2 linked regions of the Ovis aries genome follow. The protein of the gene in region 2 interacts with the protein of the main gene of each other region in a biochemical or structural test. Links are inferred from orthologs where the notes say so. Each region holds a gene or a part of one and is shown on either strand. Other genes may lie near its edges.

Region 1 (4,379 bases), on a different chromosome or scaffold from region 2:
TGTCTGGCAAGCCCATTAAGCATAGAGAAGACTGATTGATAACCATGCCCTTGTTACTCTGACCTCTCCATACTCATTCCAAAGTGCTCAATGGTATTTATTTTAAAAAGGAAAGTGAACTAAAATTCATGCTGACCAGGATGGAAGTCCTGTGCTAGGCACAAGCCCTTGCCAGGACAAGCCCAGGATTGGGAATCCTTGCATTCAGGTCTCCAGATACAGCTGTGTTAATCAGGGTCATGCCAGAGTCTTTAGAGAAGCCCTGTGCGACCCTGGAGCCTGTCAGTTCATAGTTTCTAAAACCTAGGTTTCTGAAGTTTTAATTAGAACAGAGACTAGCTGGGACAAAAGGCCAGAGATAAGGACTTAAGAGAGACAACATATTAAACGCCCAGCATCAGGATCTACCTACCTTTAAACACCTCTACATTTGTTCACTCACTAAAGAAACTGGACTTTGGCTTTACCTACCTTATCTCATTCACAAATCTTTCCCCTTCACCCTATACCCCATCCTCCTCAAAGAAAATGATGCTATCACCTACACAGCTGGTCAGGCAGAAGTCAAAGAGTCATTGTAGATTCCTTCCCTTTGCTAACCTCAGGTATGGAGGGAGTCCATCAGCAAGCTCTGGATTCTATCTCCAAAACAGATCTCAAACCCACCCATTCCCCTCCAAGTTCACTGACACCAACATCCTGATTAAACCATCTTTCATCAGGTCTATTGCTACTACTTCCCATCTGCCTTCCTCATTTCTATTCCTACTCCTTTTAAGCTCACAGAGGAGCAAGAGCTTCCTCCTCAAAATGGAAAATTGGATCAAATCATTCTCTAGCCCCTCACTCTCTTGCAAAACCAGGCCTCCTACCATCCTTAAGGTCTTAACTTATATGTTACCTCCTCAGAGGGCTTCCCTGACTACCCAACCTAAAAGAAAAGACACAGACACATTTTTCCCTCTCGGTCACAGCACCTGTAATGATTCACAATTTTATTTATGTGCTTATTTACTGGTTTATCTATTACAAGTAACTTTCCTGGGGCTAGAGACTGTCTTCAGCAACCCTCAACAACTACCAGTGTCTGGCACAAATGCAGACCACAATCTACTGAACGAATGGATTAACTTTTTGAGCGCCTATGTGCCAACGATAGCAACCTATTTTTGTAGATGAAGGGGTCTAAAGAAACCCAGATAGAGGAGGCCGCAAATAACAGCAAGAGAAACTGTAAGAGCCAGCCAGTCCAGGTAAGGTCACGTGCTCCACGCCCCAGATGTCACGTGATCAGCGACTGCCCCGCACATTTTCCCCAGTCTCCTCCTTGCCCCAGGCTCCTCCACGGGGTACCGCCTCCACCCTCAGGCTCCCTGCAAGGTCTCCACTGCACTTCTACCCCTCGACCCGCAACGGCCACGGCGTCCGATTACCAGAAGTCCGGGTCCTCCACGCCAGCACCGCCAACGCCATGTTTTACGTACTCCCGCTTCCGGTGTTAGAGTTGTGCTTCCGCTACCGGGAGATCTATTTCCGGGTCCTGCGTGGCAGACGAAAGAGTGGCGCGACAAGTTGCTGGTGAGCGCTGCTGGGCTGCTGGTGGGCCGGCGGCGCAGGGCCTACTTCCTGAGCCAGGGTCTGCTGGGGCTTGGTGGCCGCGGCCTTTGCCGCCGCGTGTGGACGACCTGTCCGCCGTGTGCCTGCGGGAGAGACGTGGAGCGAGCTCAGCAGGGCGTTGCTTATCCGATACCCGCATTTTGCCAGTTACCGAGGTTGACGCCTCAGACGGTAAAGAAACTGCCCGTGATGCAGGAGAACCGAGTTCGATCCCTGGGTTCGGAAGAGCCCTGGAGAAAGGAATGGCACCTACTCAAGTATTCTTGCCTGGAGAATTCCATGGACAGAGGAGCCTAGCAGGCTACACAGTTCATGGGGTCGCAAAGAGTCAGAAACGACTGACTGAGTGACTAACACTTTAACCAAGGCCTGAGCGGGGATAGGGAGGTCCCTCCCTAGTCGTTCAGCTTTATAGAGCACTTCCTGCGTGCCAGATATAGTACTAAGCTCTATAGATGAATTACTAAAAAAATTTTTTTTTACCTTCTCACATCGTTGTAAAGTAGGTAATGTGACTATCCCTGTTTTACTGAAAAAGCATGGCCGGGACAGGTTACATGGCTCATCCTGCAGTGTTAGTGAGTATGTTAAGATTGTCTTGCGCACCACCCATCAATGGCGACCCTAGATATTTCTGTAAGAGAACGGAAAGCATCCCCACAAAAACTAGGAGGTGAATGTTCATGGAAGCATTCGTAATGGTCAAAAATGGAATCAAACAGAATGTCCACCAGGTGAATGGATAGACAAAATGTGGCACATAAATGGAGTGAAGTGCTACTCAGCTATAGAAAGCAATGAAGTCCTGACACATGCTACAACATGCGTGAACCTCGAAAACATGCTAAGTCACCGGAGTTCACATACTTAGGACTCCATTTCTGTGAACTATCTAGAATACCTAGTAGATTTGTAGAGACAGGAGTAGGTTTACGGTTGCCAGGGACTCCAGGGAAGGGGAAATGGACTGACTGCCTAATGGCTATGGGATTTCTTTTTGAGATGATGAAAGTGTTCTGGAATTAGATAGTAGTGATGGTGATACAACCTTGCAAATATACTGAAAACTGCTGAATTGTGTACATTGTAAAAAGACAGAATTTTATGGTATGTGATTATCTCAGTTAAAAAAAAGAATGACTCTTGAAATCTCCATCTTACATGCAGAGATCGGTAAAGAGATAGTATTGGGTCTTGTTCCTAGCTCATTAACATTTTTTAATAGTAACCTCCACTTTGTTTATACCTCACAGGGATGTGAGGAGGGTTCCTGTTAGACTACAGACATAGCTGTTCTGAGTTCCAGATTCATCGTATTGGACCACATCCTATTTCTCTGTTTCTTCATTTCTCTGTATATCATTTATTTCCATAAAGCTTGGCCATAGAGCACGACAACTGGACTGAATTCATTGCTACAGCCTGTGTCTCATCTCTCTCTTCATTGCAGGGAATTAACCTGATTGCACATACTGATGGCTGTAAAGAAGTCATCACTCTCACTGGATTCCAGTGAGAGTGACTCTGAGGAGCTGCCAACATTTGCTTTTCTGAAGAATAAACCATCTTCAGTAAAGAGGAGGCAGCCTCAGGAGGATGAGAAGATTGTAGTGGTTGACATCTCAGATTCTGAGGCCTCCTGTCCGTCACCAAAATTGAAAGATCCACCACTTGTTCCAGAGGCCGCTGAAACTGTCATACAAACAGAGCCAGTCAGTGTGCTAAGCAGTGGAAGTGAGAATGAGGAGGAATTTATGCCCCTGGCTGAGAGGCTTATTTGTAAGTTTTTGACTCACAAACAGCTGAGCCCTGAAAAATCCAGCTCCCCATTTGAAAGGGTTTTGGATCATCAAAATAATGAAAGAGTATCACGTGACTGGCAAAAACAGCCATTTACAAAGATCCGTGATATTCCTCTCTGTGGTACCTCAGAGAGGCATGCATCAAGTAACAAGGACCCTGTGGTAGACAATCCATGCCATCAGCTGCCAGCCTACCAAACTACCTGCACCGTCCAGAGCAACAGCTTGACAATAACCAAAACAAATGCTGAGGTGCCCCTGCCTCAGAAGAGACGCAAGTATAGTCAGAAGGTCCAGAAGAGCAGCGCACAGGGATGCCAGCAGTGGGGACGAGCAAGCCAGAAGGAGAGCACCCAGAGGCAACAGGAAAGGAAGAAGAAGACAGCCCTGGTTAACAGGCTGAAAGCTCAGAGGCCAGAGGAGTGCTTAAAGCACATCATTGTGCTGCTGGATCCAGGTCCTACCGACATCTATCTTTCTCTCCTGCTGGGTAAACTGCTTTCTGGGTCCTGCTGACAGTCCCTTTCCCGTCTGTTGCAGCGCTCTTACAGATGGGAGGTGGGGGTCAGCTCCTTGGAGCCCTGCAGTCCATGGATTGTTGCTGTGTGATAGAGGCGCAGGCTGTGCCTTGCAGCCTCACGTGGAGGAGAAGGGCTGGGCCCTCTGAGGTAGGGGTTTTCTGACTGCTGTCTCTCCTCCTCCTTAAGTTTTACAAGATAAATATGCTTTTATCCTAAAGGCTATATCTCAGTCAAGGCCCTACCTGGAAAGCAGATGGCACACTCAGTATAAACTTGAGGAGGGTTTAATAAAGGGCTGTTTTTCAAGGTGTGGGCAGGGTGCAAGGAAACTACAAGGGACAGCTCCATCCCGTGTATAACAACAGCCTTTACTCAGTTTCTCCATCTGGGGTAGTGCTGCCATTTCAGATTGGTTAATGCTGCACTGTAGGATTATGGA
Region 2 (3,632 bases):
CTCCGTGTCACGTTCATGGCTGAGAGGTTCTTCTGACAGATCTGGCAAAAGAACAACCCCGTCTCCTCCAGGCTGTCGTTGGGTGCGGATGCCTGTTCCTGCCCAAGCTCCTGCTGGAGGGCCAAGGCCACTGCAGTGTCGCTTTCTGTGGCGGGGAGCCCGGGTCCACACCCTGTGGAGACACAAGGACCCATGAGGACCAGCTCGTCCTTGGACCTCACAGGGCAAGGACGCTGGGTGGGGCGTGAGGAGCCCAGACCCAGCCCAGGGAGACTGGACACCAAGCAGGGTACTCCCCAAACTTGTAACAGGCGCAAGGACCCCCAGGAAGCTCGTTAAAGTGCAGGTCAGGAGGCTGACACTCTGGGGGGGCTACGTGGAGCCTGAGACTCTGCATTTCGGCCAACTTCCAGGCAAGGCCACTGTTGCTGGTCCAGGACCACTCTCTGAGCACCAGAGCCCTGAAGAATTTGCCTTTGGTTTCCCATTTCTGCTAAAGTGGCAACCCTGGGCATCCCAGGATTGTAAGGCTCTTACTGCAAGGAATCCTAGGTTTCCTCTTTAAAGCTCAACCTCTCCTACTGCTCTGACTTTTTCTTGCCCCTCCAGGTCAGAGCCAAATGCTGCTCTTGGTTTTTCTTGGCATCAGACCAGAGGATGGACTGATTCTAATCTTGGGATGGTGCCCAAGGCAGCTGTGCCCACTGTTGTGGCCCTGTCATACCTGATGTTGCTGGAGCAGACCCTTGGCACTCATGCGGGATGTGCCCTGAGAACAAGGCCAGAAAAGCACCACACTTCATTTTGGTCCAGTACTTTTTTTAAACAAAGAAATGGTTTCTCTCTCCTGATTACTGGGTATGATGTGAAGAAGACTGATGGAAACAACTCAGTCACATGCAGGGCAGGGGCTGGGCTCATGCACTGGCTGAGTGACCCCTCTGCACCCCTTGGTGCCCCGTGGACCAAGGACTGATGCCACATCACTGTGTCACCTGCATGGGCCTGACAGTGCTCAGTAGTCCTGAGGTGAAACCTGCAAGTAAATACCGGGAAACTATGGATTTACTGGCTGCAGGTCTGTCAATGGTTTCTTCCTATTTCTTTTCCTTTTGTGTATTTTCACCAGGGGTGAGGATTCCTGCTGTTTAGGGGATAAAGCGCCACTGACAGTACGAGCCTCCTGGGATGGTACAATGTGCAGCAGATGGCACTTCCCTGCAGGAAAGGGTTAAATGACATCAGGCAGAAACAAGCAGATCCACAAAGTGGGGAGTTTTAAAAGACAACTGTCCTGGATTTTTCAAGAAGTCAGTATCACAAAAAACAAGGACAAGATAAGAGACTGTTACAGAGTCTAGACCAGAGACACTACTGAGCCACGGCTATAAGCAGCGTGTGACGAACCCTCGTTCAGGAAGAGTTCGCTACAGAAGCAGTCCTTGGGGCAGCCGGGGAAATGTGAATGTGAGCAGGCAGTGTTCTGGACCCACGTGTGTTTATGGAATTGCGGTTATGTAGGAGAGTCTAGGGGTGAAGCATCATGATGTCTGTGACTTGCTTTCTGATGGTACGGAAGAAGTGTCCATCTATAGAGACAAGAAAAGGTGTGGCAGAATGTCCACTGTTTGTTAAATCTAGGTTGAGGGCATAGGGATTTCATTGTAATATATTTTTCTGATTCTTTTGAATGGGAAAATTTTTGTAATAAGTCAAAATGAAAAAAGAGGAAGTGGTACCTTCTCAAAGAAGCTAAGTGAGAAATGACCCAGGGGACCCTCTGTTCTCTGGCCAGAGTGGCAAAGGCAGAGCGTGGGGCAGAAGGCCCACCCCTGGCTGAGAAGGCAGGCTCCTTCCTGACCCCTTTCCCCCAACATCATCCCTGTTGGGAAGACAGCGCTTCCTTCATACCGTTCACCGCCATCACATCTTGAGGGCCCTTTGGGACATTTTCTTCAGGTGCAGCCTCGAGCGAGCAGCCTTCAGAAGCATGTTTTAAGCGCTCGGGGTCTGCTCTCTTGAACTGCTGCATTCGCTGGAGCACCAGCTCTGCCGCCCTGGGTTTGGAGGGACTTGGCGCCGTTGCAGTCAGACAGGAAGGAGGGGGCTGCGAGAGGCTGTCCGTGGTGGCCTCTGGCAAGGAGAACATTCACACGCATCAGTTCTAGCAGGAGAAACCGAAGGTTCTTCTAGTGTCAAAGACCTCAGATTTCAAATGGGTCCTTTACTGACTACATTAGGTGTAACTCTAAAGTACTGATTGTTTTTTGGTAGCCTCACTGTTTGTGGTGATAAAAACACCCCTGCCATATGTATCTGTGATGGGAGGGGGCACATTTCTGAGGTGATAAACATGTTCTAAAAATTAAGTGGTGGGGATGGCTGCACAACTCTGTGAATAAAGTCGCTGAACCATCCACTTGAAAGGGGTCAATTTTATAGAATGTGAACTATATCCCTATAAAGCTGTTATTAAAGAGTTATTAATGACAGACACATATCTTTCTAGGTCAGAAGTTCTCCTTTAACTTGGTGTCTGAAGATGACCTCTGGGGGGACCCATGCAGCCCCTGATGCTGCATGTCACCCTCGCAGGTGTGTTTTTGGGGGGAGCAGTGCAGTGTTCTGGGGGAAATCAAGCATAGCTTTCACTATACTCTCAAAGGAAGCGTGAAAGACCAAAACGTTTCGGCAACATTAATGAAGCCTTACAACAGTCTCTGTGAGCTAAGGCTCTACCACCACTGCACTGGGGAGGCCTTGCTGACCACATAGGTAAAAAACATTATTTAAGATCAGGAAGTGAAGGTGAGAAAAATTTAGAAACAGAACTCAGGAGTCCAAAGATCTTGCGCTGTGTTATATACGCAAGGCTGGTTTTCAGTTCTGCATGAAGAATATATGTTGAGCATGTGGTTTAATACACCAGGGCAGCAGGGTGAGCAAGTTGCTTTAAACAAATAAACAGAGAAGAATAAAAGGTGTTTGGAACAGATAGGAAGGACAAGAAGAGTCTCCTGGGACTCTAAACCCACATAGCATATGCCTTCTACCTTCTCAGCAGTCTAACCAAATTGGCTCACCCATTGTAACTTACCCACTTTGGAATGAACCCAAGAAAATGAGAGAAGTAGCATTATTTTTATGTTCATGAAAAAAAAAAACCACCACAAACTCATGTTAACTGCATGATGTAAACGTTAATAGGAAAATGAAAGAGCAGATGGCCCCAAATATATCATGTAGAGAATTCATACAACGGTTATGATTATTTTCTTAATGACTATTGTTTAAAACAAGAGTCAGCAAACTATGGTCTTGGGCAGGCTGCCTATTTTTGTAAATGAAGTTTTGCTGGAACACAGCCCATTCAATTACACATCGTCTAAGAAATAGTTTGTGACAGAGACTGTATGGCCGGCAAAGCCAAAGAAACTTACTAGCTTTCAGAAAGTTTTCTGATCCTTGGTTTAAAATGGTACAAATCACCTCTGGTGTCCTCTCTGGCAGAGGTTCTGACCGTTACCTGTCTGGGTGCTCCATGCGCTATCCTGGAGTACAGCAGAAGTGTGTACACCTCCCTCGGTGTTTTCAGGGGGAGCTGGTTCAGTCTCTGGCCTCTTGGGTGCCCT

What was found.
Region 1: the proteins of SLX4 (region 2) and EME1 form a complex in vitro, tested with the Homo sapiens proteins (3 studies listed by BioGRID, with this or other methods). The link is inferred for Ovis aries from reciprocal best matches to the Homo sapiens genes SLX4 and EME1.

What each region holds. Positions count from the first base shown.
Region 1 is NC_056064.1:36,034,195-36,038,573, reverse strand, and holds the start of EME1 (crossover junction endonuclease EME1), read left to right. Parts: upstream 1-1,535; 5' UTR 1,536-1,788; intron 1,789-3,067; 5' UTR 3,068-3,092; coding exon 3,093-3,876; intron 3,877-3,959; coding exon 3,960-4,087; intron 4,088-4,379. Other genes in the region: MRPL27 (large ribosomal subunit protein bL27m), read right to left, coding at 1,434-1,473. UniProt on the Homo sapiens protein: Non-catalytic subunit of the structure-specific, heterodimeric DNA endonuclease MUS81-EME1 which is involved in the maintenance of genome stability. In the complex, EME1 is required for DNA cleavage, participating in DNA recognition and bending.
Region 2 is NC_056077.1:3,523,080-3,526,711, forward strand, and holds part of SLX4 (structure-specific endonuclease subunit SLX4), read right to left. Parts: coding exon 3,527-3,632; intron 2,134-3,526; coding exon 1,912-2,133; intron 173-1,911; coding exon 1-172. UniProt on the Homo sapiens protein: Regulatory subunit that interacts with and increases the activity of different structure-specific endonucleases.